Linked DNA regions of Xenopus tropicalis. The protein of the gene in region 2 binds, or shares a complex with, the protein of the main gene of each other region. Links are inferred from orthologs where the notes say so. Each region holds a gene or a part of one and is shown on either strand. Other genes may lie near its edges.

Evidence for each region.
Region 1: the proteins of cdk9 (region 2) and ccnt1 are in contact, whole or in part, in a crystal structure (PDB 3BLH), measured with the Homo sapiens proteins. The link is inferred for Xenopus tropicalis from reciprocal best matches to the Homo sapiens genes CDK9 and CCNT1. Residues at the interface, in NP_001252.1 of Homo sapiens: Val8, Glu9, Cys10, Pro11, Phe12, Cys13, Lys56, Glu57, Gly58, Phe59, Ile61, Leu64, Ile67, Lys68, Gln71, Leu72, Leu81, Ile82, Glu83, Ile84, Arg86, Ile99; in NP_001231.2 of Homo sapiens: Arg5, Lys6, Arg11, Trp12, Arg26, Ile72, Gln73, Phe78, Phe89, Leu90, Lys93, Val94, Pro98, Lys99, Lys100, Leu101, Val134, Glu137, Ile139, Leu141, Gln142, Thr143, Gly145, Phe146, Glu147, Leu148, Thr149.
Region 3: cdk9 (region 2) and eaf1 share a complex: the UniProt entries of both Homo sapiens proteins name them as parts of the super elongation complex. The link is inferred for Xenopus tropicalis from reciprocal best matches to the Homo sapiens genes CDK9 and EAF1.
Region 4: cdk9 (region 2) and eaf2 share a complex: the UniProt entries of both Homo sapiens proteins name them as parts of the super elongation complex. The link is inferred for Xenopus tropicalis from reciprocal best matches to the Homo sapiens genes CDK9 and EAF2.

The regions. Positions count from the first base shown.
Region 1 is NC_030678.2:135,679,210-135,686,856, reverse strand, and holds part of ccnt1 (cyclin-T1), read left to right. Parts: intron 1-1,888; coding exon 1,889-1,959; intron 1,960-5,455; coding exon 5,456-6,589; 3' UTR 6,590-7,647. UniProt on the Homo sapiens protein: Regulatory subunit of the cyclin-dependent kinase pair (CDK9/cyclin-T1) complex, also called positive transcription elongation factor B (P-TEFb), which facilitates the transition from abortive to productive elongation by phosphorylating the CTD (C-terminal domain) of the large subunit of RNA polymerase II (RNA Pol II).
Region 2 is NC_030684.2:24,557,385-24,564,779, reverse strand, and holds the end of cdk9 (cyclin-dependent kinase 9), read left to right. Parts: intron 1-1,164; coding exon 1,165-1,246; intron 1,247-1,922; coding exon 1,923-2,013; intron 2,014-2,804; coding exon of another isoform or gene 2,805-2,822; coding exon 2,823-3,001; intron 3,002-3,083; coding exon 3,084-3,255; intron 3,256-3,865; coding exon 3,866-4,014; intron 4,015-4,326; coding exon 4,327-4,692; 3' UTR 4,693-5,008; downstream 5,009-7,395. UniProt on the Homo sapiens protein: Protein kinase involved in the regulation of transcription.
Region 3 is NC_030682.2:51,491,361-51,499,007, forward strand, and holds the end of eaf1 (ELL-associated factor 1), read right to left. Parts: coding exon 7,538-7,647; intron 6,478-7,537; coding exon 6,311-6,477; intron 4,566-6,310; coding exon 4,335-4,565; coding exon of another isoform or gene 4,264-4,334; exon of another isoform or gene 3,759-4,263; intron 3,717-3,758; coding exon 3,670-3,716; 3' UTR 891-3,669; downstream 1-890. UniProt on the Homo sapiens protein: Acts as a transcriptional transactivator of ELL and ELL2 elongation activities.
Region 4 is NC_030685.2:88,577,976-88,586,123, reverse strand, and holds the start of eaf2 (ELL-associated factor 2), read right to left. Parts: upstream 5,284-8,148; 5' UTR 5,175-5,283; coding exon 5,072-5,174; intron 1,507-5,071; coding exon 1,412-1,506; intron 1,329-1,411; coding exon 1,192-1,328; intron 627-1,191; coding exon 478-626; intron 309-477; coding exon 87-308; intron 1-86. UniProt on the Homo sapiens protein: Acts as a transcriptional transactivator of TCEA1 elongation activity. Acts as a transcriptional transactivator of ELL and ELL2 elongation activities. Potent inducer of apoptosis in prostatic and non-prostatic cell lines.

The DNA.
Region 1 (7,647 bases), on a different chromosome or scaffold from region 2:
CCCAGGGGCCACTCGTTCCCTTCCTGTGCTTGTTGCATAGGGGGTGGGAACGAGCAAGGAGCGAAGGAGTGTCTGTGGCACTTGGGTACTTTTATCCAAAGAATGTCGATTCTACGTAACTATGTGGTAATACTAACATGCTCTCTAGAGAAGGTTTGCCGAAAATATGCTCCATAAGCTCCTTCTTGTGCCTGCACCGGAATGAATGGAATACTTTCAGATGCAGGCACATATGCCGAAATATGCATAAAAATTTGTGACTTTGCATTCTCTTGCGTTTTTATGCGGATATCAGCTACATGTGCCTGCACCAGAGCGTATTCCATTCATTCCGGTGCAGGCACAGGTAGGGGCATATGGCGCATATTTTCATCAAGCGTTTTTCAGCTTGCCGAAAATATACACCATATGCCTGGTGTGGCATCAGCCTAAAGGTAGGATCCCCTGTGTTGTGTTTTCTTAGTTCACAGCTCTGATAGACTAACAGATTATCTGCATTTCTCGCTCTGTATACAGGTATGGGATCCCTTATCCGTAAACCCGTTATCCAGAAAGTTCCGAATTATAGAAAGGCCATCTCCCATAGACTCCATTATAAGCAAATAATTATCATTTTTAAAAATGATTTCCTTTTTCCCTGTAATAATAAAACAGTACCTTTTACTTGATACCAACTCAGATATAATGAATCCTTATTGGAGGCAATACAAGCCTATTAAGTCTGCTAAAAATCATTTAAATATTGAATAAACTTAAGTTATGGAGATAAAAAATTATGGAAAGATCCCTTATCTGGAAAACCCCAGCATTCTGGATAATAGGTCCCATACCTGTACTTTGAAAGTGATCATGACCGAGTTATGGATGAATTACTGTCTATATACTTTTTTTTCTCTCTAGAGAGATAAATTAAACAGGGGCCTATTTATAAACCCTTGTAAAGTTATTTACACATAAACTAATAGCTTATTTATAAAGCAGTGTATATCTTATGTGTGATTATATGCTGTGCATCACAGTTGGCTTCCACCAGCCGAATCTTAGCTTTAACCCATTTTAGCCTGTGGCAAAAATTCTGACATAAGATGTGTAATGCAGGAATGGAAAACCAAACACCATTTTTCAAACAGCATATTTAAAGCAGCTGCTGCTTTTTGTACCAGAATGGCACGCTGGACTTCACAGTTGCCAAAAATCAATACAGAATAGGGTTGGCTTTTATGTGGTGATGCTACTGTTTAGATGGCATTCTGGGTGATGATGTACTCTTTATAAATATGTCTCATAGAGTTGTCATGAGAATTTTCAGAATGCCTGGTGTGATTGTGAAGCTTAATATAGTTCAGCATAGATAAACAGTATTTAGTCATGGATTAGTTCAGTTATAGGTCTTTGGCAGAGGTCAACCTTGTAGTCAGGGTTATCTACAGTTGTTATTTGTGACATTAATTCTCTGCATACAGCGTCTTTGTTTTCCATTTTATATAATAAATTGACGTAAGCAATGGAGACAAAATAAGTATTAATCTCCCCATTTCTTACAGTAAGTCATAAAAATTTGTTGATTCTAGAATCTTCGGCTTCTGCTACAAAAAAGATAAAACAGTAATGTAGATGAAACTACAAGATTTTGTAGATAATGGATGATAAGTTTGCTCTGACTTCACCCTGAAATCGCCATACCTTAGGAAGGTTAAAATTTAAGAGGAGATCGCTATGTACAAGATGTAGGGTTGCATTTCTAAGCCTACTTACAGTTTTTACACTTTGCCCATATTCAATTAACCATTTCCTTAAATAAGTGTATTACCTGCAGCAGATGGTTTTGCGGTCTTATTACTTTTTCTGTATATGCTTTTGATACCCAATTTCTGCTTGATTATTGCAGAATTAACTCATGAATTTCTTCAGATCTTAGAGAAAACTCCTAATCGCCTGAAACGAATCAGAAATTGGAGGGTAAGTTTTTTGGGACAGTTCTCCAATCACAAGTGTGTCAAACCAATACACTATTAAACCCTTAAAGGGTAGACCGTTAGACCTTTTTGATAAAGCTTACTTAGTTTTTACCTTTCCTTCTCCTTTAAATTCAGTCCACGGATATTGTTTAAGGGTAGACGACATTTGCCATAAAAAGGGCCCTGTGCAGAAACCATGCCCTCTTACATCACAATCTCCTCTAATACTTCCTCTCTGAGCATCCTTTTTGTGCACTTGTCCAATTGAGGTTTGGCATGGTGCCAAGAGACTGGCGGATTGCTAATGTGGTGCCGTTATTTAAAAAGGGATCCCGTTCTCAGCCTGAAAACTATAGGCCTGTTAGTCTGACATCAGTAGTAGGAAAACTTTTGGAAGGGGTAATAAGGGATAGGGTACTTGAATACATTGCAGTTCACAATACTATTAGTTTGTGCCAGCATGGTTTTATGCGTAACAGATCTTGCCAGACTAATTTAGTCGCCTTTTATGAGGAGGTGAGCAGGAACCTCGATGCTGGAATGGCAGTTGATGTCATCTACTTGGACTTTGCTAAAGCGTTTGATACAGTACCTCACAGAAGGTTAATGATCAAATTAAGGAATATTGGCCTAGAACATAATATTTGTAATTGGATAGAGAACTGGCTGAAGGATAGAGTACAAAGAGTGGTGGTAAATGGAACATTTTCTAATTGGACCAGTGTGGTTAGTGGAGTACCGCAGGGGTCAGTCCTTGGGCCTTTGCTTTTTAACTTGTTTATTAATGACCTGGAGGTGGGCATAGACAGTACTGTTTCTATTTTTGCTGATGACACTAAATTGTGCAAAACTATAAGTTCCATGCAGGATGCTGCTGCTTTGCAGAGCGATTTGACAAAATTAGATAACTGGGCAGCAAACTGGAAAATGAGGTTCAATGTTGATAAGTGCAAAGTTATGCACTTTGGTAGAAATAATATAAATGCGAACTATCTACTGAATGGTAGTGTGTTGGGGGTTTCCTTAATGGAGAAGGATCTAGGGGTTTTTGTTGATAACAAGTTGTCTAATGCCAGGCAGTGTCATTCTGTGGCTACTAAAGCAAATAAAGTGCTGTCTTGTATAAAAAAGGGCATTGACTCAAGGGATGAGAACATAATTTTGCCCCTTTATAGGTCCCTGGTAAGGCCTCACCTTGAGTATGCAGTGCAGTTTTGGGCTCCAGTCCTTAAGAAGGATATTAATGAGCTGGAGAGAGTGCAGAGACGTGCAACTAAACTGGTTAAGGGGATGGAAGATTTTAACTATGAGGTGAGACTGTCAAGGTTGGGGTTGTTTTCTCTGGAAAAGAGGCACTTGCGAGGGGACATGATTACTCTGTACAAGTACATTAGAGGGGATTATAGGCAGTTGGGGGATGTTCTTTTTTCCCATAAAAACAATCAACGCACCAGAGGTCACCCCTTTAGATTAGAGGAAAGGAGCTTCCATTTGAAGCAGCGTAGGTGGTTTTTCACGGTGAGGGCAGTGAGGTTATGGAATGCCCTTCCTAGTGATGTAGTAATGGCAGATTCTGTTAATGCCTTTAAGAGGGGCCTGGATGAGTTCTTGATCAATCAGAATATCCAAGGCTATTGTGATACTAATATCTACAGTTAGTACTAGTGGTTGTATTTATAGTGTATGTATGTGAGTGTATAGATTGGTAGGTGTGGGTTAAGTGTGCTGGGTTTACTTGGATGGGTTGAACTTGATGGACACTGGTCTTTTTTCAACTCTATGTAACTATGTAACTATGTAATGTCAGGTTGACCGGGTTTTCATCCTATTCAGACTCTCCTCTCCTTTAGACATTCTACAGACCTCTGTTTTATATGATAATAGTAAGGTTCCATCTAATTGTTTTCAGACTAGTGAATACGAGGACCCATACTACAAAACCTACTAGATCAGCAGTAGGTTGAATTAAACTGCCCACATGGGTCTGTTCAATAGATGAGATTGCTAAATGAGCAGACCTTGACTTGATGGGACCACCCAGGTCAAAGGCAAAACTGATCTATAATATGGCCAAAAAGCTTGCTATTCTGTTCCAAATCATCAATTGACTAAGATGTAAATCATGAAAACTTTTTCAGTATGGTAATATGTCACAATGAGTCTCCTTTATACTTTTGATCTCTTTATTATCCAGTTGCATTAAATGACCCATACATTTCATAATACACTATAAAGGGGTTCTGTAGTTAAAACTGGCATATGCCAGATGTGCAAAATTATTTTGCCGAGTTTATCCCATTGACTTCAATGAGTTACACCAGGTCTGGGATGACGTTTTATAAATATGATTTGATGATTATGAGTTATCCAGTATTCTAGCTGAAAGGCACATGAAATAGTGCCCTGAGGTCAACTGGGAAGCACAGGACAGCACCAGAAGCAGTAGAAATGCAGTAAAGATTTCCAGAGTAAATTCATCTTTAAAGGAGAAGGAAAGGCTAAGTCACTGGAAGGTGCCAGAATGTTAGGCACCCCCAGTGACTTAAAGGAACAGTAACACCAAAAAATGAAAGTGTATAAAAGTAACTAAAATATAATGTGCGGCTGCCCTGCACTGGTAAAAGTTGTGCGTATACTTCAAAAAGTCTACTATAATTTATATAAATAAGCTGCTATGTAGCCATGGAGGCAGCCATTCAAAGGAGAAAAGGCACAGGCACATAGCAGATAACAGATAAAACACTATTGTATTCTACAGAACTTATCTGTTATCTGCTGTGTAACCTGTGCCTTTTCTCCTTTTTTCCAGCTTGAATGGCTGCCCCCGTGGCTACACAGCAGCTTATTATATAAATTATAGTAGTGTTACTGTAGCAAACACACCAGTTTTACCAGTGCAGGGCAACAGTGCATTATATATTTATTACTTTAAAGCTCTTTAATTTTTTAGTGTTACTGTTCCTTTAATCGCTTTCCTTTTACCCCAGGCTGGTGCTCCTGTGAGAAGACCTCCGCACCAGCCCGGGGTACCTATGAGCGAGTGTTTCCTCGTCCTTCTGTTTTTGCGCACTTGCGCAGTAGAGTGAAAAGCCGAACTTAAACAAACTGCAGGTACTCCGGGCTGATGCGGTTTTCTCCTAACAGGAACACCAGCCCAGGGTAAAATGTAAGCGATTAAAGTCACTACCTTTCCTTCTCCTTTCAGAGCTATGACAAAGATTTTTAAACATGCCAACTATTTTTCCTCCAAATGTTACTCCAGTTCTTAAACATAAAAGATTTTACATTGCTTTATAAATACAGCCCTAACCTCTTTTCTTTTGAAAAAAACACATACACCTCTTTCTTTTGTTTGTTAATATTGAAAACATGTTTCTTCTTAAAGAAAGCATTAAGAGCATTATCTAACATTTGAATTTATTTGGCTTTTTTATTTTTTACTAAGCCGTTTTTTAGTTTATGGCAGGAGATGTTAAATAGCACTTTTGTATTTGCAGATTAGTCAGGCTAACCAAACCAGGAAACCTAAAGACGATGAATGTCAAGAAGAGTCTGAGGATAATAGCTTTTCTGAAGAGACAATTCTTCGAATGTTCTCTCATAGTGGAATGTTAAATACTGATTCCCTTTCTGATTCATCATCTCAGCCACTTTCGGTTACAAAAAATGATGGGGGAATGTCGGAAGGGCAGTGGGGGTGTCAGCTACAGAGCCAGCGGGATCAGCATAGAACTGGCGAGCTTATAACATCTGCAGAACAGTCACAAACACTCGGTTCCAAACCAGTGGCACTTGCTAAAATGTCTCTGAAGGAGTACCGAGCAAAGCATGCAGAGGAATTGGCAGCACAAAAACGCCAGCTGGAGCAATTGGGTGCCAGCCTAAAAGAGCAATACGCTTCTGCTGCTCAGAACCTGTTAATACAGCAGCAGAAAGAACGTGAAAAAGAGGCCCATGCCTCTCCTATTATCCTTAAGATTCCATTGCATGAAGTAAGCCACAAACGCTCTGAGAAATCTTCCAGCCTCAAGCTTCGGCTCCCTGTTACTAACCGGGAGAAATCGGAGGAGGGAAAAATACGGATTAAGTTGCCAAATGAGGACAGCAGCAAGAGTAGAGATAAGCACAGAAGTAGTACATCTTCACATCACCATCACAATAACCAGTCACATCGTCAACACCACCAAGATCCATCTGGAAATAACAGCAGCAAACGTTCTTTACCTCCCCCGGTATTTTCGACACACAAATCATCATCAAATTCCCGAAAACGTACTACCACAGAGGAAACCGCAGGACACGATCCCCCTTCTCACAAAGTCAGCAGGACCTCCAAAGCTTCCACACAGGAACCTGCTGTTCCACACTCATTAAACAGAGTGAGAGGTAAACCAGAAAGGGAATCTTCGGGAACCAATGGTCACAGCGTCAATAAAGTAATTGATTATCAGGACACAGTGAACATGTTACATTCACTTCTTAGTGCACAGGGAGTACAACCCATGCAGCCCCCTCAGTATTTAAATCCATTTGGGGATTTTCGCAGGACACGGCCTGGTAACACTGATGATTCCAGAGCTCCCCCACTTCCTGCTGAGCCACCCCCCCCTCTTCCGCCACTGCCAAAGTGATATAAGTTTTAAACCTATTGTTTTAATGTCTAGAAAGGTGAATTAATTTCCCTGCATTGTCTGAACTATCCTAACCAGCACGCTCTCTTTCTTTTGCTCTTCCATTTTTTATACCAAACTATTCCTTGTGGTTTTGTTCCTTCCTAAACAGTCTTACCCTATTGTGTTTCCCTAATTTTTTGCATGTCTTAAATGAAATGATGTCACTTTCTAGGACTTCAATCACTCACTTCTCTGTCATGTTATATTTTGTTTGTGTTGGTGTTATTTCTATCAAACGGGTCATAGTTTTAAAAATGTACTATAAGAAAGCAATTGAGAAATGTTACAAAAGTGTTGATACTAAGCTTTTTGCAAGCTGAAAGTTACAGGTACATTATATTTATAGTGTTATCTGACTATTTTTATTATGCTTTATTCTTCCTTTTAACTGTCAGTATCAAACTTTCATCTCATTTATCTATGAATGGAGATTGTTTGTTTTTTCCTCTGGTGGAAGTCTTATTTATAGCTAATTTTAGGCTAGGGCAACAAGGTTGCAGTGTAGTCGCTGACCCAAGTATGTTGGTCAGCCAGGGTGTCCAACTGTAACTGTGCTGTGTTTGGTAGGCATCCCTGGATATTAGCACTCAAAGGCAGCTAAATGAGAGCCTCTCAGAAAACTCTGCCTGCAGTATTCCATGGCAAGTATGTCAGCTGACATCCACAGACATCCTACCATAGAGGAACCTATAGAGCTCTCCTAAAGAAAGTCTTGGCCCAGGCCTTACTTTGCCAGTCAGTTTGATAATCATTTGTATAATTGTTTGATTAAATCACAATTTAAAGGAGAAGGAAAGGCATTTTAATGCCGATAGATTAGCCACATCAGTGCCACCTAGAAAGCTATATTTATTCTGCAAAAACCTTTACCATACCTGAGTAAACAGCCCTAGAATCTCCATCTGTTTGCTTAAGACAGCAGCTGCCAGTCTCAGGAAGTGTTGCAGCTTTAGCAGTTGGTAGCTCACAGATCTCACATTCTCATGAGAAGGGGAGTGAATTCTTTTGGGAGGTGG
Region 2 (7,395 bases):
GGAATGTGTACCTGAGCTATGTAAAGGGCTATAACTAGGGATTTATAGTACATACAGTATGGAGTACACAAGGTATAGTTGGGATATTAGTATGGATCTATAGTTCATACAGTAATATATACACATCTATATTTATGACCTTATCCCTTTATACCTATTCTAACTATAGTGCCATACCATATATCCTTATCATTCCTCGCTATATAGCTCTGTCCAGATTCCCTGTCTCTGTATTGGGATTCTGCGAAGTACAGTTCCATGTTACACAGGTATGGGACCCATTATCCAGAATGCTCGGGACCTGGGGTTTTCCGGATAAGGGTTCTTTCCGTAATTTGGATCTACTACCTTAAGGGCTCTGGCACACGGGGAGATTAGTCGCCCGCGACAAATCTCCCCGAACTACCATCCCACACATGTAAGTCGCCGGTGGGATGGTACACGCTGCGCAGACGATTTTAGCAAATCGCCGAAGTTGCCTCACGAGGCATTTTCGTTGATTTGCAGAAATCGTGCCACCGCGTGTGCCATCACACCGGCGACTTACATGTTCGCCGGTGGGATGGCAACTCGGGGAGATTAGCCGCCCGCGAACAGGGAGATTTGTCGCGGGCGACTAATCTCCCCGTGTGCCAGAGCCCTTAAGGTAGTAGATCCAAATTACGGAAAGAACTGTAATTTGCGAATTAAATGATTTAAACAGTAAACACAATAGGATTGTTTTGTCTCCAATAAGGATTAATTATATCTTCTTTGGGATCAAGTACAAGGTACTGTTTTATTATTAGAGAGAAAAAGAAAATCATTTTAAAATGTTTATTATTTGATTAAAATGTAGTCTACGGCAGATGGCCTTTTCGTAATTTGGAACTTACTGGATAATGGGTTTCCGGATAAGGAGTCCGATACCTGTACAGTTTTTCTATCAATATAATTTTGCTGTATGTGCCATTATTCCTAGTCTGTATGTATAGTTTTATTACTGTACCCTAGATGAATGTTCTAAGTCGTTGTATAGCTGCAGGGTACAATCCCTATTATACAGTCACTGAGGGCTTTTCCTTTCTATCGGAAGGATGGCTGCCAATCATGGAAGTTCATTTATTTATTTTTTTTATGCTGGGAACTCATTGACTCATCTGTTTCTATGTGTTGGACCCACAGGGAAGTGTTCAAGGCCAAACATCGACAGACGGGGAAGAAAGTGGCACTTAAAAAAGTTCTGATGGAAAACGAGAAGGAAGGGGTAGGTACTAATGCTGTGGTCTGCATGTAACAAGACCCTTTTATACCATTCTGTTTAGTATTTTTATAGTGAATAATGCACCCCCATAGTAAAATAAAAGGATATTTTAAGTCACAGAGGAGTTCCATGGCCATATAAAGGACCCAGTGATTTTATACAGGTCATGAAACTCTAAGGCGGTGATCCCCAACCAGCTGTTTATGAGCCACATGTTGCTCCCCAACCCCTTGGATGTTGCTCCCAGTGGCCTCAAAGTAGGTGCTCATTTTTGAATTTCTGGCTTGGAGGCAAGTTTTGGTTGCTTAAAAACCCAATGTAAAGCCACAGTCCACATAGGGGCTACCAAAAAGCCAATTATAGCTCTTATTTGCACCCCTAGGACCTTTTTCCATGCTTGTGTTGCTCCCCAACACTTTTTCCATTTGAATGTGGCTCATGGGTATAAAAGGTTGGGGATCCCTGCTCTAAGGTAATGTCTAATATTCTCATATTTTACAACAGGGAGGTCCATTAATTATAATACCCAAGTAATGTGACGGGTATAACATCACTAAAAGCCAATTATAGCTGATGGCATCACTAAGCACCATTTATAAGGATATAGTTTATTATTTAATTATGGCACATGTGTGTCTCTAACTACATCTATCTAATGAAATCATGTTCTTTTTCTCAGTTTCCTATCACGGCTCTGCGAGAGATAAAAATCCTGCAGCTGCTGAAACACGAGAACGTAGTTAACCTCATAGAGATCTGTCGGACAAAAAGTAAGAAACATTTTGTGTCTCTCTCACTTTGTGCTGCATGTGCTGTGTTGGGGGGTTGCAGCTTGGGTGGTGGCTTTTACAGCCAAAGACACACACAGCATGGTTGTTGTGAATGTCCTGCCCCTTAGACTCCCTATCTCTGTCTGGCTCTGTCTTTCTTATCCTGCTTCAATTGAAAACCAAGCCAATGCCATACACATTGCATGGAAGCTGCAGCATCTCCTCTGCCAGGTGTAGAACAACCCAGTCCTTAAACCCAGTGACCCAGTCCTTCAACACAGTTTAGGTGGTGTTGGAGGGTTTCCAGTGGACTTGACAGTATTGGCTTATAAGCAATTTGACTGGGAGGGGAGTGTAGGGAACCTTGCTAAAGCAGATCACTCTATTTGTCAGGGGCTGACTTTGCGCCCTTTTGGTATATCAGTCATACTCTATTGCTACCCCTGCTGCCATAAGTCTAAATAGCAGTGCAGTGAGCTTTGCTATATATATGCATCGCATTGTTTTGGGGTAGACTCTTGCTCAATAAATTTGGTTACCTCTCTATGGCCCTTTAAAAGAAATATGTTCCTGGCAGGGGAGAGTGGGGTATAAAAGTGGAACCTAGCAAGACCAAATTATTTTTGGAACTATGTAGAATGCTAAGGCATAAACTCATAGCCAGAGTTGTGCCACAGTGCCTGCATTTGGTATGAGGGTCCCTGATGGACACATTTGGTCCTGCTTGGTGTCTGCCCTTTGTAAATGTGCAACTGTTGTGCTTATGCTGCTTTTGTGGGGCCGTGCTCTAGACTCTCTTGCCCACCTAGTTTCTCCCACAGCCAACCAGTACAATAGATGCAAAGGAACTATTTTCCTGGTGTTCGACTTTTGTGAGCATGATCTAGCAGGCTTGCTGAGCAATGCTCATGTCAAGTTCACGCTCTCCGAGATCAAGAAGGTAATGCAAATGCTGCTCAACGGCCTCTACTACATTCACCGGAACAAGGTGAGCAAGTGCTCCATTCTCTTCCCATCCTGGGCATTTACTGTTCTTGTAGGACCTGTGTCTAATGGACTCATGCCCACAGATCCTGCACAGAGACATGAAGGCAGCAAACGTACTGATCACCAGGGACGGAGTGTTGAAACTTGCAGACTTTGGGCTTGCCAGAGCATTCAGCCTTGCCAAGAACAGCCAGCCAAACAAGTACACCAATCGCGTGGTTACGCTCTGGTATCGGCCCCCTGAGCTACTCCTAGGTAAGGACGGTCATGTGGTTATATGCACTAATAAAGTCTGAATCCCCCAAAAAGGGAAGCTGTCGGGTCATAACATTCATGTCTGATGGAAGCCATAATAATAGTCTTTGCAATTGATCCAGCTCTGATGCAGGATATACTGTTAGCTAATGTATATCTTAAAGGGGACTTTAACTTTTAGCATGTTTATAGCAGCTTTTCAGTAGGTCTTCATTTTTTATTTATTGTTTTTGCTTTCCCCTTCTGACTCAGCTTTCACATGGGGGTCACTGACCCCAGTAGCCAAAAAACTATTGCTCTCTGAGGCAACAAATTTATTATTGTTGTTACTTTTTATTATCTTTCTAGTTAGGACCCCCTTTATTCATATTCCTGTCTCTTTCAAACCTTTGCCTGGTTGCTAGGTTAAATTGGGTCCTAGCAACCCAATAGCTGCTGAAATTCCAACTTGAAGAGCAACTGAACAAAAAAAACTAACACAAATGAAAAAACAAAAGTCAATTTGCAAATTGTTTCAAAATAGCACTCTGCATTAAATTAAAAGTTAATTTAAAGATGAACTACCCCTTTAAACAGTGTGGATAATATTTTTCCCATTTTCTGCTTGTAGGAGAGCGTGATTATGGTCCTCCCATTGATTTGTGGGGAGCAGGGTGCATCATGGCTGAGATGTGGACCAGAAGCCCCATTATGCAGGGGAATACGGAGCAGCATCAGCTAACACTCATCAGCCAATTATGCGGTTCCATCACACCAGAGGTGAGTTTTAATGAATTGCTCTGGTCCAGGATCATATCTAGGACTAAGTGGTCTCATTGGTCGTGGGATAACTAAACTAAAAAAAAGCAATTTACATTAATTATGTTTTATTCAGTTTCAGAGCTATTTAAGTATTTAAAGTTTTTAACTGCCAATAATGAATTTTTTAACAATGCTGTCACCTGCTGGTTGGTTCCTGTAACTGTTGTATTCTGATGTTGCTCTGCTTAGGAAAGAGATCAGAACCCTTAGATATCTGTAAATCTAATTAAACACCTAAACCGGATAGTTTATTTTATTAATATATTTTAGGTCTGGCCAAATGTGGACAAATATGAGTTGTACCAGAAGCTGGAACTGCCCAAAGGCCAGAAAAGAAAGGTGAAGGAAAGGTTAAAGGCTTATGTGAAAGATCTCTATGCACTGGACCTTATAGACAAGCTGTTGGTTTTGGACCCGGCTCAGAGAATCGACAGTGATGACGCCCTGAATCATGATTTCTTCTGGTCTGACCCGATGCCTTCTGATCTGAAGAACATGCTCTCTACTCACAATCAGTCCATGTTTGAATACTTGGCACCTCCTAGGAGAAGAGGCGGGCACATGCCCCAACAGCCAGCCAATCAGGCACGGAATCCTGCTGCCACAAACCAATCAGAATTTGACAGAGTCTTTTAAAGACATTCTTTATTATTTATTGGGAGGAAAAAAAAGACTTTTTTTAAAAATATATATATATTTTTTTTAATTCCTTTGTAAGTAAGCCTGTATAGTATGGGGAATAAGGACTAGCTGCATACTTTTGTTAGCATAATGATATTCAGAAGCGTGGCATTCGTGAAACAAAACTTTTAACTGTGATACTTAATCTAAAACTCTTGCTACCATGCTGATACACACTGGTCAGTGAATCGAAAGTTTTCCGAACAGCTTTCTGTGCTGCTGTACCTATGTACTTGATAGGGAATGTAAATAAAGTTTTATGTTCTCCTATTATTTTATGGCTTTCTTTCTTGCCATTTTAAATTATTATTAACATTTATTTATAAAGCACCAACATATTCCGCAGCGCTGTAAATAATCTGTTATTTCCATGGAACATAGGTTGTGTTCTCCACCAGTGTTTTTCAGCCAGCACATGCTGGCCATGCTGTTTTATTGGGAAATACAGGTAAAGTTTGAATAAATCATGGGCCCGGATTCTCCAGGCAGACACTGACTAGTGATGAGTGATAACATGCTGCCTACCCTGTTTCCACATTTTGGGGGATGGCCATTTTATGTATAAAACATACATTGGTTTGCTAAGTGGCCTAGTCCCTGCCCATAAATTGCTTCTACAGATATTCAGCCAATCAACTAATCATGTGATCCAATTGTTACTGAGTGGGCTACAGTTGAAACAGGGTCATCCATTGATAAGAATTGCCATGTTTGTGTATAAGGCCAGTTTGTACATATATTTGACTGGACGACTAGATATTCCAGAATGCTTTGGGCCTTTCCTAGTGGGGGCTAAGATTTATTATACCCCAGTTCTTCTGTCCCAAAACACTGGAGCACATTTAAAAACGCTGTGCAATATCCAGTAGAAACCAATCACAAATTAAACAATGAAAAGCAAATATGCAATTGGTTGACATGGGATACTGCCCACGTACAAATTTACCTAGTGTTGATAAATGAGCCTCCCTTACTATCCCGCGTACATAAGTACCTGGGCTGTAAGGCATAACAACCAATCTGTGATTAGTGTTCTACCCCCTCCCTCACTACAATTCAAGAGCCTGTTGCCTGTTTTTCATGTGCTTGGGCCCTTACACACAAGCATTCCAGTAATGGGTTCAGTTAACCATCAAACGCAGGTGAGACTCAACTGCATTTAGTGGCTCAGAGCAGCCCTGTAAGTACAACCTGCATATAAAATGTGCAGGGGTTGTTCACCTTTTATATTAACTTAGTATGTTGTACAGAATGCTATTCAGAGACAATTTGCAATTGGTCTTTATTTTTTTATGTGTGGTTTTTGAATTATTTGGCATTATATTCAGTCTCGAGTTTGGAATTTTAGCAGCTATATGGTTTGCTTGGGTCCACATTACCCTAGCAACCAGGCAGTGGTTCAAATGAGAGACTGGAATATGAATAGGAGTGGGTCTGAATATAAAGATAAGTAATAAAATGTAACAACAACTACAATTGTAGCCTCAAGGAGCAATAGTTGGGGTCAGCGTCCCCATTTGAAAGCTGGAAAGAGAAGCGGAAAACAATTTAAAAAATGATAAACAACGAAGACCAATCGAAAAGCTGCTAAGAACTGGCCATTTTGTAACATACTAAAAGTTAACTTAAAGGTTAACAACCCCCTTAACTCCTGTGTTCCCAGGCAGCGGAATGCATAGAGTGCCTGTGGGACCTTTTGAGCTACAGATGTGCTTGCAGTTAACTGATTTCATTCTGTCTAATCATACCCATAAATGCGTGAGCTGTCGTGCATGTTATTAAAGGGGTGGTCCTTTTACATTTCCAGCAGATTAACACACAAATGCTGATCTTGTTATACTGTGGAAATCATACCTTGGTCAGACATTCTTACTTGTGTGGTTTAACAACTGCAAAGATGGGATTACAGAGATCCTGTTGGTTTTTCTGAATGCGTTTATAGTACATGTGCTGCTGTAACAGAATTCTCAGGGACAATCGGTGGTCAAAAGGCAGCTACTAGCACCAGCTTCTTATGGCAGCTACTAAAATAGACTCTGCTGATTATTTACTGATAATTGTCTCTATGTGTGTTTTAACAGAGGCAATTCTCAGTATTGTCTATGGCAGGGTATTTTCAGGTGTTTAGTGCCGTAAAAAAGTAGCTGCTACTAGTAGGCTCTTATGTGTCATCACGCTAAGACCCACATAGCGAGTTATTAGCACACAATAGATCACTGGTACTGCAGGCATCTCCTTGCCTGCAGGAGAACCTTTGTGTAACTTCAGAAAGCTGAAGCAATGCCTCAGCCTTTCCACCGGTGAGTCATATTTTTGCCGGTGGAAAGGCATTTCATAGCAGTTAGTCGCCCACGGTCACAGCAATCTATTGCGGGCAACTAACTGACTCCATCGGTCCTTAGCCTAAAGGCTGGGGTGACAAAGTTTCCCCAAACATCAATATAGTTTGTATTGTACATGTAGTTGCCACTGCACTGGTGGCTTCAGGATCACAGGGTGATGGTAGAATTGTTAACCTGTATAGATACCTCAGGAACAATGTGGGCGTTGGATGGGGGAAAGAGAACCAATTCAGTCTTAGAGAGGTTTAATTTAAGGTAATGTTGGGACATCCAAGTGGAAGAACACATAAAGGGGAAGAACAACATTCTGGCAGAT
Region 3 (7,647 bases), on a different chromosome or scaffold from region 2:
ACCCTATTTATTGAACTAAAGCAGAAAAAGAAGATATACTGCCTGTTAAGGTTGAAAACATGGGGGGGGGGAATACAAAGGGGCACATTTACTAACCCACGAATGGGCCGAATGCGTCCGATTGCGTTTTTTTCGTAATGATCGGTAATTTTGTGATTTTTTCGTATTTTTTGCGATTTTTTCGGCGTCTTTACGATTTTTGCGTGGGCTGGGACTGATGTAGATGTGTGTCATTATACTCTACCCAGGCTAATCAATCAGATTTTTCACATGATTGTGAACATTACACTTGATAAAGGGTATTGACTCGAAACATGTTGTGTTACCACTACCCACAATAAATGGTTTGCAGTAAATCTGCTGAAGCTTTTTTCTCCTACTTTTTGGATTTTTAAAAGTATACAGATACTCTGCCATGGAAAGCCATTTGTTGGCAGCCTCCCCGAACAAAAAAATCCTCTAGGCTGTATTTAAACAAATCCAAAAAAGCAGGTTCCACATCAGGAACCTATAAAAATTAAACAAGATCAATACTTTATTAAATCTATGTTTTCAGGTTCTTGCGGTGCAGGCATCCTCAAACTATGCGGCCCGCGGCCCAAATACGCCCCCCTCCAAGGTAATTTACCTGGCCCCCACTATGATCTGACGCGAGGATGCAGTGGGGAACCGGAGGGAGCAGGAGGACGCAGCGGGGAGCGGGCCATAGTATGAGGACACAGGGGGGAGGAATTTATTCCGCCCCCCCCAACAGTCTGAGGGACCATGAACTGGCCTACTGCTTAAAAAGTTTGGAGGACCCCTGAATTAAACTTTATGTTTAGAGCAGGGTAGCGACATAGAAAATGTGAACTAGAATACTGTCTCAATAAACAATGAAAAGGCAAATACAAAATGCACTATTACTTTATTTTGAAGATAAAATATATATACAAAAGCCTTACATAAAATAAAATATAAATGTTCATGTAAGAATGTAAAATTTTAGCCAATAATTAAATGTATTATTATTATTACCAAAATACATGAAGGCATATAATCTTATGCCAAACTCACAAATAAAATGTAAGCTTCTTAAAACCAGCATAAATAATGAAATTAGTATAACTTCAGTACAGAGATACACACACACATGTTGGGACACGAGTTAAGCTACAAGTTGGCCAAGACATCAGTGGGAAATTGCCTTCAGTTTGCAACATTTTCTAATCATACTTCTTTGCCAAAAGGGAATGCAGTTCCAATTATATAAGGCAAAGTGTTGCAATAAAAAAAAAGGTTCTAGCCACAAACTCATGTGGGTACTCTGGTAGACAGATTTGAGACTGGATCACAGAAAGTCTACCAAAACAGAAAATGAAAAAAAGGACTGTCCTTGTTATAGCTCATCAGCTGATTTATTTCATATGAGATCCCATAATTTAACATGTGGGCCTACAGACTAGATCATCCCAAAAGACCCTTATCACTAGCATGGGATAAAACATAGCTTAAAAATAATATATCATGGTGGGGAAAAAAAAAAAAGAGGAACAAGGAAATAAAACAGAGGAAAGGATAAAAGGAATGGGTAACGTTATTGCATCATATTTTACACTGCAGAGATTGTTAATGATTCACATCACTCCCTGCCCAAGCAGAAGCTTACACTCTGATTTAACTATTTACATTCACTCAATAAACACAGACAAACTAACCTGCCTGTGTCAGTGATGTAATTACTGGAATGCGGGAAAAAAACAGAGGTAAAGCATACAGACAGGGAAGGACATACAGACTTACTGGCAGATGGCACCTTGGTTTGAAATTAACTCATAAAAATGATGGTATGTGTGAAATGAGTGAAACAAAAAGAAGGAAATGCAAGACCCTAATATCAGAGTCAATTATGCACAAATTAAAATGTTGTATGGAAAACAATTGGCCTAGCGCAAATGCTCACCTTTAACCCAGCAGTGTGAACCAGGAACAAGGCACATTGGCATGGGAGCCCTGTACTTTACACTTCTCATTGCCCAGGCTTTAAGTACAGGGTTACTGTTGTGCATTGCACACCCTAAATAGCATGCAATTAAGGGGTGCCTGCCTGCATGTTGCCCCAAATATACGGAGCACAACTTCTGCATCATCAGCACGTTTTACACCTCTGCCACTAAGCGTATACCTAGGGACACGCATACAATTTTGCACAATTATGCTGAGAAACTGCATTGGGAAAAACATGGTGAACTACACCATAAAGAGCACTTTACATTGCGAACATGTATAATTCACAACAGTTCCTGCACCAGTGGAGCTTACAATCTAAGTCCTTATTACATTCATACATACTAGGTACATTATCGAGAGCTAATTTACATCCCTGTATCTTTTTGGATGTAAATATGTGTGCATACATAAGAGAAGCACAATAATTGCTGTAATCTAAATCTATGCAATTTATCTGCTAGGTAACCAGTGATCCTTCAAATGAACTACAGTTCTATACTTCACAGCTAAACTCCATTTAGAAGTCCTGGGAGCTGTAGTTCCACATTTGTAGGTCTGCCTTGTTATCGTTCTGTAGCTGAAGGTGATAGTTGACTGTACTAATGCCAGTCAGTGATTACTGTGTGCCTTTGTGCTGGTACATGACATGGACAGATCAGAGTACACTCTCAGCTGCCATTTTTCATCACTATTTCTGATGCTTACAGCATGCTATGAGAATGTAACTGCAGGCTATGTCTATTCACTAATATTAATAAATTATTGGGAGAAAAACCAGCATGAGGTCTACTTATATCTCTGATGGCTAGAAGTCACTGGAGGTCATTTATAAAATTTGTGCAGCACATTTTTATTTTTGCAAATGGTTGTTTTGTGCATGTTTTTCCCTAAATGCTAAAATTTTGCACTGCTGTGCCTGGCTTTTTTTTTTTTTTGCGAATTGCAGTTAAATGCGTTGTGTGCACAAACATTCACAAATGAGATTGTGGCTTGTATGAGCATGTCCTTTTTTGTGTTTATTGAGCTCAAATATAGCTCCGATTTTAACTTTAGGAATACAAATTCGCAATTTGTGAAATCAGTTTAGCAAATATTTCTTCCGCTACCAAAGTTGTGGCGTAACTTGGAAGCAGAGTGTGCACATAAATACTCAATTTGCAAATATGCCATATTTAAAAAGCTTTTAAAAGGACATTTGCACTGTGAATAAAAATTTGCAATTATGTTTGCACATTAAATGCACCTGCCTTGTCCAGCTTTATAAATATAAATATGGGTGTGGCAAAAATGTTCACTGTGCGAATAATTCTGTGCTGCGCAAACTTCATAAATGACCCCAATGGGTAATGGCACACATACCACACTGATGCCAGTACCAAAGTGCCAATACTAATCTCAGATTACTTACTACTGCAAATAAGTAACAATTAAACCCTTTGGAGATCTAAGTTTGCAGGTAACAGCTATACATATATGTCCTGCATTATGAGAAAATTTGAAAAAGGAGCAAATAATCTCTCACTCTCCAGTCCATGAACTGCATCTCCAAGCATCCTAGTAACACCCTATCCAAACTTCACAGCCGCTGTGTCATTTTAGCCCCTGGCTTGTTTGGTGCTTTTGTGCATTTATATACATACATAATATTACATGTATACATAATGAATGGAGATATGTCCTTTAGTCGTCACTGTCACTTCCCGATTCACTTAACTGAAGGTCATTTCCTGGAGAAGAAAAAAACAGGTATAAAAAGTCAGTTAATGCATTTTAATCTCTATTTTAGCAAATGATAACAATAAACAGATCAGAGAAAATTAGCTGTTACACTATTGTATTTTTTGCAAAGTAGTGTTCATAAATACATGCCAGGATGGCCTCAGGTTCATGATACAATGATAACATCATCAGAGTTAGTGAGGCAAAGCACTTTTCTGTTGGAGTAAAGCTCTAACCCAGAGCACAAGGCTTTGTTATAGGTCTTGCTTCTTGTATAGGTAACATTATCTTTGTCTTCTATTGCGGATACCTTGTAGCTACAATTAATAGTCAAACATTTGCTATGAGTACTTGTCCAGTATTCCATTTACCAGCATTAAAGGAGTTTTGCAACCCTCTGAAGCAGCATACTATGTGTATTTTCTTAGCACTTCTTTCACAGGAGAGGAAGAGTGCCCTTGGGACTGTTTAAAATGAGCAAAATGTCAATGATGAATGATTCTATTTAACTACAAAACCTTTATGATAGAAACATACATCTTTATGGTTGAAAGGTTATTTTGAAAAGGTTTTCCTGGAAACACAACCATATACAACATGAACTGAACTCAGCATGTAATACTCACTGAGTGTGTTCATTAGCTGATTTGTTCCTTGTGGCCTACTGCTGCCATTAGAAACAGGTATCCTGCTGTTATATTGTTGAGGTGGCAGCTGTTGAGATGGAGATTCTTGTGTCTCTTCTTCTCCAGCGCTGCTAGAGCTGTCATCGTCACTCCCAGAGGAGCTCCCAGATTCAGAAGAACTGCTGCCGCTGCTGCTCATCTGCTCTATAATCTCTACCTCTGCCCTCAGTTCTATGGGAAGATGCACAGGCTCATGTTCAGTACAGTTCATGCACCACATTTTCTCATAACCACTGCATGATTTTTAGAGCTGATTTTTAGAGCCTCTGGTTATGCCAGTGGCAGGGAAACTTTAACAAATGGGAAAAGATGAGCACCTAGAGAGAGGAGAAGGCTTCTGTTTGCTCTTTCATCTTCTATAGTATTACATGAGGAAATTGCCCATGTGGTATCCCATGTAGAGGTTGTTTGTGCTTGTTGGCAAGCACTGCATACGAACTATGGAGATCTATGGGCTGTCTTCAGCTTTGGGGTCAGGGAAGAAATTATAATAATAACAAAGTATAAACCACATTTGGAAAAGAATGTTGGATGTTCCATTTAATCAGATTACTCCTTACTACAAATGGATATACTAGCAGTAAGTCCTACAGTAGAACTCCAGTTTTACATTTTTCAGGGGACCACAAAAAATTGAGTTAAAATTCAAGAAAATGTAAAATCAGGGAAAAACATTATGCATTATATACTGGTGGGAGGGGCTGAGGGAGCCCACTAATGGGATCCAAAAATCTGTGTTACTCATAAGAACAATTTCCCAACCAGATGTCAAAAAGGCAATCTATAATTTTCTCTTTAAGGGTTAAAAATACCAGGGAAATCTCTACCACTTAATTAAAATGTAGAAGCTGCTCTGCTGGGTGGTGAAACTCTTTATAGATTACACAACAAGTTCAGGTGCTGTTCCCTAGATCCTGTATATCATGACCTGGACGAATGAAAACCTTATAGACATTAATGAGTGATTCTAGATAATCTCAGCTGTGTTCCTTGGCCATAAAGGAGACCAGAGCCACCATCAGAGGGACCAACAGGAATCACATAGGTCCCCAGTTGGTTGCAAAAGGGTTGGGGCTTCATATGGTATGGGCAGGAATCAGTAGGATCAGGGGTGGGATAAAGAGGGCCGGAGGCCCGGTTATTTTGGGGATATGGAACCCCATGGCCCATTACCACAACCCTAATAGGGATATGTATCTTATATAGTGTGATATTAACTTAAAGGTTAAGTAAACTTTACATTTTATTTTTGCAATTTATATAATTTATTTTTTCCAGTTTACAGCTATTTTAGGTATTCAACTCCCAATAAAAGGAATTTTGTAACCGTACAGTTTCTGTAACTGTACAGTCAAATAGACACACCTTCAAAAGGAAAACAGAAGTTTTTTTTCTCAGTTTACGTCACTTCCTAAATAGCTCTGAAACGAAAATGTAAATTGCAAAAGTGTTTAGAAACTTTTGTTTTAAGGTTTATTTACCCTTTAATGTTGCATTAGATTTTAATAATTCCAAAAGAAAATAAGAGTAAATGTTTTTCATAACTTCATTTTTTCCCTATAGCATTGTATTCCAGTATAACTGCTATGTTAAAAAATAGGTACACAAATGCCCCCTGATTCGGGAGTTCTGGCGAGAAGTCTTAATAAATATAAAACACAATCTATCTCTCCTCAATATCCTCTCCCCTAGTTTGTGCCTTCTGCATGCCTACTTAAAGTGAAGTATACAATCACAACAGATGTGTGGAAAAATATTTATCAAAGGGTGGTTTATTAAACATATTTATCATGGCATTAGAATGGATTTGGGTGAATCACAGTGTGCCTAAAATGTCTAAACTTTTTGTTTGAGAATATTGACAGGTATGTGTACAGGGACAAAGTAAAATTGACAAGACTAGTGGTTCCACTCACCTCTTTTAATGTCATCAAGCTGTGGTTCAGGAGAAGGATGATCTTTTAATGGAGATGTTTTAGGCCCAGCAGCTACTTTGGAAGGTGCCTTAAACTGAGATGTTGGTTGTGAAGCACGGGCAGACTGCTGTTCTATACGAGCTTGGATCTTACTGCTGCCCTCAGCTCTGAAAAGTAAAAGAAAGCATTTGTGTCCATTTTCCTACCAATAAGGATAGCATACATATCCTATTTTGTGACAATTATTTCTGTACAGGTATGGTATCTACTATCTGGAATATGTGGGACCTGGAGTTTTCCACATAATGAGTCTTTCTGTACTCTGGATCATCATACCTTATACAAAAAAAAACAAAAAAACACAACATTTAAACATTATATTAACCCGAGAGTCAGGCATGTTTGGCTCAACTAACTGCCCCTCCGGAGTGTTGTGGGTTGATGGCGGGCCCGACATTCTTCCAGCCCAGTCCTGTCCCAAACAGTTCAATGGACTCTTTTAACAGATCTTTTTCCCTTATCACTTACTTTGTCCCCTTTCTGCCTCCCCTGTTTTTTATAATTATTTATGCTTTTCAGCAAAAGCTTGTTTCATGTATGATTCTAATGCATGTCCAGTAGATGTACTATAAGGGGCATACAATGCATCCAATAGCCCCTGGCAAAGTTACACACACCAGAGCTGAGCAGGCCCTTACAATATTACAGGAAAACCTAATTTTCTGCTTGATAATTTGCAACAACCCCTAAGCTTAACTTGGTTCAGTATATAAACTATAGCCCTATTCCTTTTTAGGTTTTAGTTCTCCTTTAAGGAGTTAAAAATCCTGTGCACATTAGGGTAGGTATGGGATCAGTTAGCTGATCCAGAAGGCTCAAAATTCTGGATAAAAGGTCCCATACTTGTATAATGTAAAAAACTAGAATTCAGGGAAAACACTGAGTATAGCTTCTATTTATGAGGAATACAGTAGCCCCATATCTGTAAAACCCTATGTCCAAACATTCTGCAGAACAGATCCCATCCCTTAAATAGCCCTGCTGTCTCTTAAGCTATACCCATATTAACTTTGCTTTCTGTTTGGTGGTCATTAACTTAACACTTTACTAATTTAAATACTGCAATCAAAGAAAACCTTTGGTGGTTTTTCTTTTATGCTACACTACCAGAGCTGAAAACAATAATGCCTCAGAATAATTCTGGTGAGTGCCTTAAATTAGCTATACCTGGTTTTCTTTACTTGAATGCTGCTGCTCAGTTTTTCCAGCACATATTCCCCTGTGTCGTGGTTAATGATCAGCACACAATCCTTTTGGTAAGGCCGTTTGTTTCCTTT
Region 4 (8,148 bases), on a different chromosome or scaffold from region 2:
CCAATCTAGCAGGTATTGGCCCTTGATATGGCTCTCTAGATGCCAGTTACAGTAGGTCCTACAGGAGGGGGGGTAAGTGCACTTACGCAAAGTACTCATCATCTGCCCCCCGTTGTCCTGAGACCTATGCACGCTCTCTACGCTGGAGCCCGAGTTGTGCCGCTGCAGCGGCTGCTTGGAGTGGGACGACTTGTTTCGCTCGTCCTCAGAGTCGCTGGAGCTGTCGTCGCTGGAGGAGGAGCTTTTGGACTCCGAAGAACTGTCCGAACTGCTCATTTGGTCGATAACGCTGGCTTCCGCCATCAGTTCTGCGGGAGAATAGAAAAAGTCACTGGCAGCCAAATAGCATAGCGCCACCTGCTGGTCATAGCACCACATGGCCTATTGAGTGCAGCCAAACCCTCTATGTGTTCTCTCATTTCTCCTGAACTCCCAGCCAGCGACCCTGGTGAATGGTCAGCTTACGGTACCACTTACCCCTCTCTATATCATCCATTGGGGATGCCGGAGACATTTTCTCCATGGGCGAGGAAGAGTTTTTGGCGCTGTTGGGTGTTTTGCTGGCGTTGCGCATTTGCTGCTGTTGCTGCTCCAAGCGGGACTGGATCTTGCTGCTTCCTTCAGCCCTGAGAATAACAAAGTGCCATTATGTACTACCCCTGCAGGAGGGCAAATATTCCCTTTAAGTACAGTTCCTGCTGAATTGTGCTTAGTACAGGGGAATCCCTATGTGCCATAGTTTTATGGTATCTCTCTGTACAGGCTATGAGCAAACTTAGGGGGCTGTTCCTGCTGAATTGTGCTTAGTACAGGGGAATCCCTATGTGCCATAGTTTTATGGTATCTCTCTGTACAGGTTATGCGCAAACTAAGGGGGCTGTTCCTGCTGAATTGTGCTTAGTACAGGGGAATCCCTATGTGCCATAGTTTTATGGTATCTCTCTGTACAGGCTGTGAGCAAACTTAGGGGGCTGTTCCTGCTGAATTGTGCTTAGTACAGGGGAATCCCTATGTGCATTAGTTTTATGGTATCTCTCTGTACAGGCTGTGAGCAAACTTAGGGGGCTGTTCCTGCTGAATTGTGCTTAGTACAGGGGAATCCCTATGTGCATTAGTTTTATGGTATCTCTCTGTACAGGCTGTGAGCAAACTTAGGGGGCTGTTCCTGCTGAATCGGGCTTGTGTCAGTACCTGGTCTTTTTGACACTAATATTGCTGCTCAATTTCTCCAGCCGGCACTCCCCGGTGTCGTGATTCACAATCAGGATACATTCCCTTAGGTACGGCCTTTTGGAGCCTTTGAACACAGTGACTGGGGTGGTGGAACCCTGAAAGGACAAATATAAAGTTATTTAGTGCCACGGCTGGCAGGGAACTCTGGGAGTTGTAGTTTCCAGTTGGTCACACTCACCTCAATGTTGGGCAGAGTGATGGTCACCTGTTCCCCTTTCCCCGCCTCCAGGTTCCCCTCACAGGAAGTATCAATGGACGCCGGCTTGAAATCATCTGCAAAGAATGTAGTGAATATACAGTATAGAGAGGGGTGCGCAGTGCAGCCCCCCAAGAGTGGAAATGGCAATAATACTAAATACTGTGTGAGGAGAGCAGTTACACTGGGGCACAGGGGGCAAATCTCTCCCACCCCCAGGGGGCAATAATCTATATATAGTGGTATCCAAGCCGGGCAATAAAAGCTGCTAAAGTGGAAAAATTGGATTTATTCTGGAAAACAGACAATCCATTATCATGTTGCCCCATTAACCCCCAAGCACCACGTATCCTATAATAATATCTAGTCACGTGGCAGCAGAGCCAGTCTGTCAGGCGTCTGATCCACGGAGCATTCCTACCCACCCAAACACACCCACGGCCTCTGGTACTGTGTGAGCCGCCTCCAGAACCTACAGACTGTCTGACCCACATGTATAAATACAAATATACAGAGAAGGAATGTTCTGGGCACACAATAAGCTGTACCCCCATACTGTACTGTCTAAGGGAAACACTATGGCACCTCCCTCCCATATGTATAAATACAAATATACAGAGAGGGAATGTTCTGGGCACACAATAAGCTGTACCCCCATACTGTACTGTCTAAGGGAAACACTATGGCACCCCCTACCCATATGTATAAATACAAATATACAGAGAGGGAATGTTCTGGGCACACAATAAGCTGTACCCCCATACTGTACTGTCTAAGGGAAACACTATGGCTCCCCTACCCATATGTATAAATACAAATATACAGAGAAGGAATGTTCTGGGCACACAATAAGCTGTACCCCCATACTGTACTGTCTAAGGGAAACACTATGGCACCCCCTACCCATATGTATAAATACAAATATACAGAGAAGGAATGTTCTGGGCACACAATAAGCTGTACCCCCATACTGTACTGTCTAAGGGAAACACTATGGCACCCCCTACCCATATGTATAAATACAAATATACAGAGAAGGAATGTTCTGGGCACACAATAAGCTGTACCCCCATACTGTACTGTCTAAGGGAAACACTATGGCACCTCCTACCCATATGTATAAATACAAATATACAGAGAGGGAATGTTCTGGGCACACAATAAGCTGTACCCCCATACTGTCTAAGGGAAACACTATGGCACCCCCTACCCATATGTATAAATACAAATATACAGAGAGGGAATGTTCTGGGCACACAATAAGCTGTACCCCCATACTGTACTGTCTAAGGGAAACACTATGGCACCCCCTACCCATATGTATAAATACAAATATACAGGGAAGGAATGTTCTGGGCACACAATAAGCTGTACCCCCATACTGTACTGTCTAAGGGAAACACTATGGCACCCCCTACCCATATGTATAAATACAAATACACAGAGAAGGAATGTTCTGGGCACACAATAAGCTGTACCCCCATACTGTACTGTCTAAGGGAAACACTATGGCACCCCCTACCCATATGTATAAATACAAATATACAGAGAAGGAATGTTCTGGGCACACAATAAGCTGTACCCCCATACTGTACTGTCTAAGGGAAACACTATGGCACCCCCTACCCATATGTATAAATACAAATATACAGAGAAGGAATGCTCTGGGTGACTGATAGGACACAGGTAGGAAGGGAAGGAACAGCTGCTAGACGCGACTCCGCACACCTGACAGCAGAGCCACAGGACAAACCTCACAGCTCGGTGTCACGGCTCGAGCCCATATTTAGTAAATCCCCTCTCACTATGAATACGGCTATTTTGGGTAGCGCCAGGCTGCACACTCATTTCAATTTGGCGCCCCGGGCACCTCAAACCCACAGCTGTTTCCTTGGGGTCAACGAAGCGTTGAAAGCTCGAGGGCGGTGAAACCAGGGTTACAGGCAGCTACGTGCAGCCCAGGGGCCACTTCCCATCAGAAAAGCAGAGGGTGGGACACGGCCCTTGAATGACTCTGTTAGAGGATTGTGGGAGTTGTAGTTCATTATTAGATAGGGAAACAGGATAGGGAATGGCACTTATGGGGGCAGGGCAGGATACAAATAGGGTACAGGGGCATATGGCTCTGCCCACAAGTGAACAAGTTACTGCCCGGGGGCTGGAGTTGGGCACGGAACACTGATGGGGGGGGGGCATTGGTCTAGAGTTGGTGCCCCCCCAGGTTCCACCCTGTAACTGGGAACAAAAGGGGCCCATAGAGCCACACTAATAGGGATAACCCCAGCTGTCTCAGAGAGACAGACAAGAGACATGTGGGCACAGGGGCCACAGGGTAATACTAACAGGCAAGGAGAAAGGGGCCCCAGGGCCCAAGCTTAAAGTGTTATAGAGAAGGCACAGGGGCCACAGGGTAATACTAACAGGAAAGGGGCCCCGGGGCCCAAGCTTAAAGTGTTATAGAGAAGGCACAGGGGCCACAGGGTAATACTAACAGGAAAGGGGAAAGGGGCCCCGGGGCCCAAGCTTAGAGTGTTATAGAGAAGGCACAGGGGCCACAGGGTAATACTAACAGGAAAGGGGAAAGGGGCCCCGGGGCCCAAGCTTGAAGTGTTATAGAGAAGGCACAGGGGCCACAGGGTAATACTAACAGGCAAGGAGAAAGGGGCCCCAGGGCCCAAGCTTGAAGTGTTATAGAGAAGGCACAGGGGCCACAGGGTAATACTAACAGGAAAGGGGCCCCGGGGCCCAAGCTTAAAGTGTTATAGAGAAGGCACAGGGGCCACAGGGTAATACTAACAGGAAAGGGGAAAGGGGCCCCGGGGCCCAAGCTTAGAGTGTTATAGAGAAGGCACAGGGGCCACAGGGTAATACTAACAGGAAAGGGGAAAGGGGCCCCGGGGCCAAGCTTGAAGTGTATAGAGAAGGCACAGGGGCCACAGGGTAATACTAACAGGAAAGGGGAAAGGGGCCCCAGGGCCCAAGCTTGAAGTGTTATAGAGAAGGCACAGGGGCCACAGGGTAATACTAACAGGAAAGGGGCCCCAGGGCCCAAGCTTAGAGTGTTATAGAGAAGGCACAGGGGCCACAGGGTAATACTAACAGGAAAGGGGCCCCAGGGCCCAAGCTTAGAGTGTTATAGAGAAGGCACAGGGGCCACAGGGTAATACTAACAGGAAAGGGGCCCCAGGGCCCAAGCTTAGAGTGTTATAGAGAAGGCACAGGGGCCACAGGGTAATACTAACAGGAAAGGGGCCCCAGGGCCCAAGCTTAGAGTGTTATAGAGAAGGCACAGGGGCCACAGGGTAATACTAACAGGAAAGGGGCCCCAGGGCCCAAGCTTAGAGTGTTATAGAGAAGGCACAGGGGCCACAGGGTAATACTAACAGGAAAGGGGCCCCAGGGCCCAAGCTTACAGTGTTATAGAGAAGGCACAGGGGCCACAGGGTAATACTAACAGGAAAGGGGCCCCAGGGGCCACACTAAGAGGGTCAGAGAAGTGGCCCAAGGGCCCAGGAATAAAGGAAGAGAGAAGAGGATCCCAGGGGCCCTAGGGCCACAGTAAGAGTCAGACGAGAGACACTTTCCCAGGTATGAGGGAGAAGCAGGGGCCCCTCAGGGGACATTACTGACAGGGCCACTCACAGCGGATTGTGTGGTACCCGCTCCTGGGCTGCTTCTCGAAGCTCTCCCCCAGCACCAATGGCCTCTCCTTGGTATCAAACAGCGGGCAGGCAGCGCCATTCATCGTGCCGACCCCCGGGCACCTCCAACTCCCCAGCCTCTGCCCCGAACCAGCCTGGGGCTCCCAACTCAGCCTGCCAGCCGGGGGCGGAGCCAGCAACCGGAGCGCCTTCCTATTGGTTGTTGAGTGCTATACAGACGCTGATTGAGCGAACAGAGTTCAGATTAAGACTTTGCCCCTCCCCCCCGAGAGAGATACCGGCAATCAATGGTCAGTCCGCATGTAGGAAACTAAGTCCCGCCCACAAGTAATGACGCAGGAACTGAGTGGCGTCGGTGTACCCGGCAAGCATTGCGGTCCGGGCCTTGACTAGTGAGGAGCCTGATTGGAGTAGCGTAGGGTTGCTAGGCAACCCGCCCCGTTAGAGAGAAATGCTGAGCGAGCGGGCTGTGTGAGGCGCGGCACCGGAAGGTGATTCTTCATTGGGACTTTGTGTGTCTGTGGGAATGCGTCCCGTCCGGAAGCCTCGTAGTCTTAGACTTATCTACCTAGTTATATACCTACCTACCCACACTTACACACAGAGCTACCTACCTACTTATATACCTACCCACACACACACACACACACACACACACACACAGAGCTACCTACCTACCCACACACACACACAGAGCTACATACCTACCCACACACACAGGTACCTACACACACTGCCCCAGGCCCTGTATATTCTATTATAGATACTGACAAACTCATATGCCCCTCCCCATTCTCTGCACCTCAGTCTGGGCAGCCTATGGCCTCTCACTGCTGGGATTTGTAGTTCCACTAGAAGGGTCATAAGCCTCCTAAACCTCTATCAGAGCACAGACTCTTCCCTTTGGCCCCAAATCCTCTCCAGCACTGCCCCCCTCTCCGGCACTGCCCCCCCTCTCCGGCACTGCCCCCCCTCTCCGGCACTGCCCCCCCCTCTCCGGCACTGCCCCCCCCTCCGGCACTGCCCCCCCCCCTCTGGCACTGCCCCCCCCCTCTCCGGCACTGCCCCCCCCCTCTCCGGCACTGCCCCCCCCCTCTCCGGCACTGCCCCCCCCCTCTCCGGCACTGCCCCCCCCCCCTCTCCGGCACTGCCCCCCCCCTCTCCGGCAACTGCCCCCCCCTCTCCCAATCTCCATTCTGTTCCTGTCCCTTCTTTTGACTCCGACCCCTTGTCTGTTTCTACCTGCCCCCCATTCCCCTGTCTGTTTCTACCTGCCCCCCATTCCCCTGTCTGTTTCTACCTGCCCCCCATTCCCCTGTCTGTTTTCTACCTGCCCCCCATTCCCCTGTCTGTTTCTACCTGCCCCCCATTCCCCTGTCTGTTTCTACCTGCCCCCCATTCCCCTGTCTGTTTCTACCTGCCCCCCTTCCCTTGTCTGTTTCTACCTGCCCCCCCATTTCCCCTGTCTGTTTCTACCTGCCCCCATTCCCCCTGTCTGTTTCTACCTGCCCCCCATTCCCCTGTCTGTTTCTACCTGCCCCCCATTCCCTTGTCTGTTTCTACCTGCCCCCCATTCCCCTGTCTGTTTCTACCTGCCCCCCCATTCCCCTTGTCTGTTTCTACCTGCCCCCCATTCCCCTGTCTGTTTCTACTGCCCCCCCATTCCTGTCTGTTTCTACCTGCCCCCCATTCCCCTGTCTGTTTCTACCTGCCCCCATTCCCTGTCTGTTTCTACCTGCCCCCCATTCCCCTGTCTGTTTCTACCTGCCCCCCATTCCCTTGTTTTCTACCTGCCCCATTCCCTTGTCTGTTTCTACCTGCCCCCCATTCCCCTGTCTGTTTCTACCTGCCCCCCCCATTCCCCTGTCTGTTTCTACCTGCCCCCCATTCCCTTGTCTGTTTCTACCTGCCCCCCATTCCCTTGTCTGTTTCTACCTGCCCCCATTCCCCTGTCTGTTTCTACCTGCCCCCCATTCCCCTGTCTGTTTCTACCTGCCCCCCATTCCCTTGTCTGTTTCTACCTGCCCCCCCATTCCCCTGTCTGTTTCTACCTGCCCCCCATTCCCCATGTCTGTTTCTACCCTGCCCCCCATTCCCTGTCTGTTTCTACCTGCCCCCCATTCCCTTGTCTGTTTCTACTGCCCCCCATCCCCTGTTTCTACCTGCCCCCCCATTCCCCTGTCTGTTTCTACCTGCCCCCCATTCCCCTTGTCCTGCTTTTCTACCTGCCCCCCATTCCCCTGTCTGTTTCTACCTGCCCCCCATTCCCCTGTCTGTTTCTACCTGCCCCCCATTCCCTTGTCTGTTTCTACCTGCCCCCCATTCCCCTGTCTGTTCTACCTGCCCCATTCCCTTGTCTGTTTCTACCTGCCCCCATTCCCCTGTCTGTTTCTACCTGCCCCCCATTCCCTTGTCTGTTTCTACCTGCCCCCCATTCCCCTGTCTGTTTCTACCTGCCCCCCATTCCCCTGGTCTGTTTCTACCTGCCCCCCATTCCCCTGTCTGTTTCTACCTGCCCCCCATTCCCCTGTCTGTTTCTACCTGCCCCCCATTCCCCTGTCTGTTTCTACCTGCCCCCCATTCCCTGTCTGTTTCTACCTGCCCCCCCATTCCCCTGTCTGTTTCTACCTGCCCCCCCATTCCCTTGTCTGTTTCTACCTGCCCCCCATTCCCTGTCTGTTTCTACCTGCCCCCCATTCCCTTGTCTGTTTCTACCTTGCCCCCCATTCCCTTGGTCTGTTTCTACTGCCCCCCATTCCTTTGTCTTTTCTACATCCTTTTGGCCCCCATTCCCTGTCTGTTTTCTAACCTGCCCCCCATTCCCCTGTCTGTTTCTACCTGCCCCCCCATTCCCCTGTCTGTTTTCTACCTGCCCCCCATTCCCTTGTCTGTTTCTACCTGCCCCCTTCCCGTCTGTTTCTACCTGCCCCCCATCCCCTGTCTGTTTCTACCTGCCCCCCCATTCCCCTGTCTGTTTCTACCTGCCCCCCATTCCCTTGTCTGTTTCTACCTGCCCCCATTCCCCTGTCTGTTTCTACCTGCCCCCCATTCCCTGTC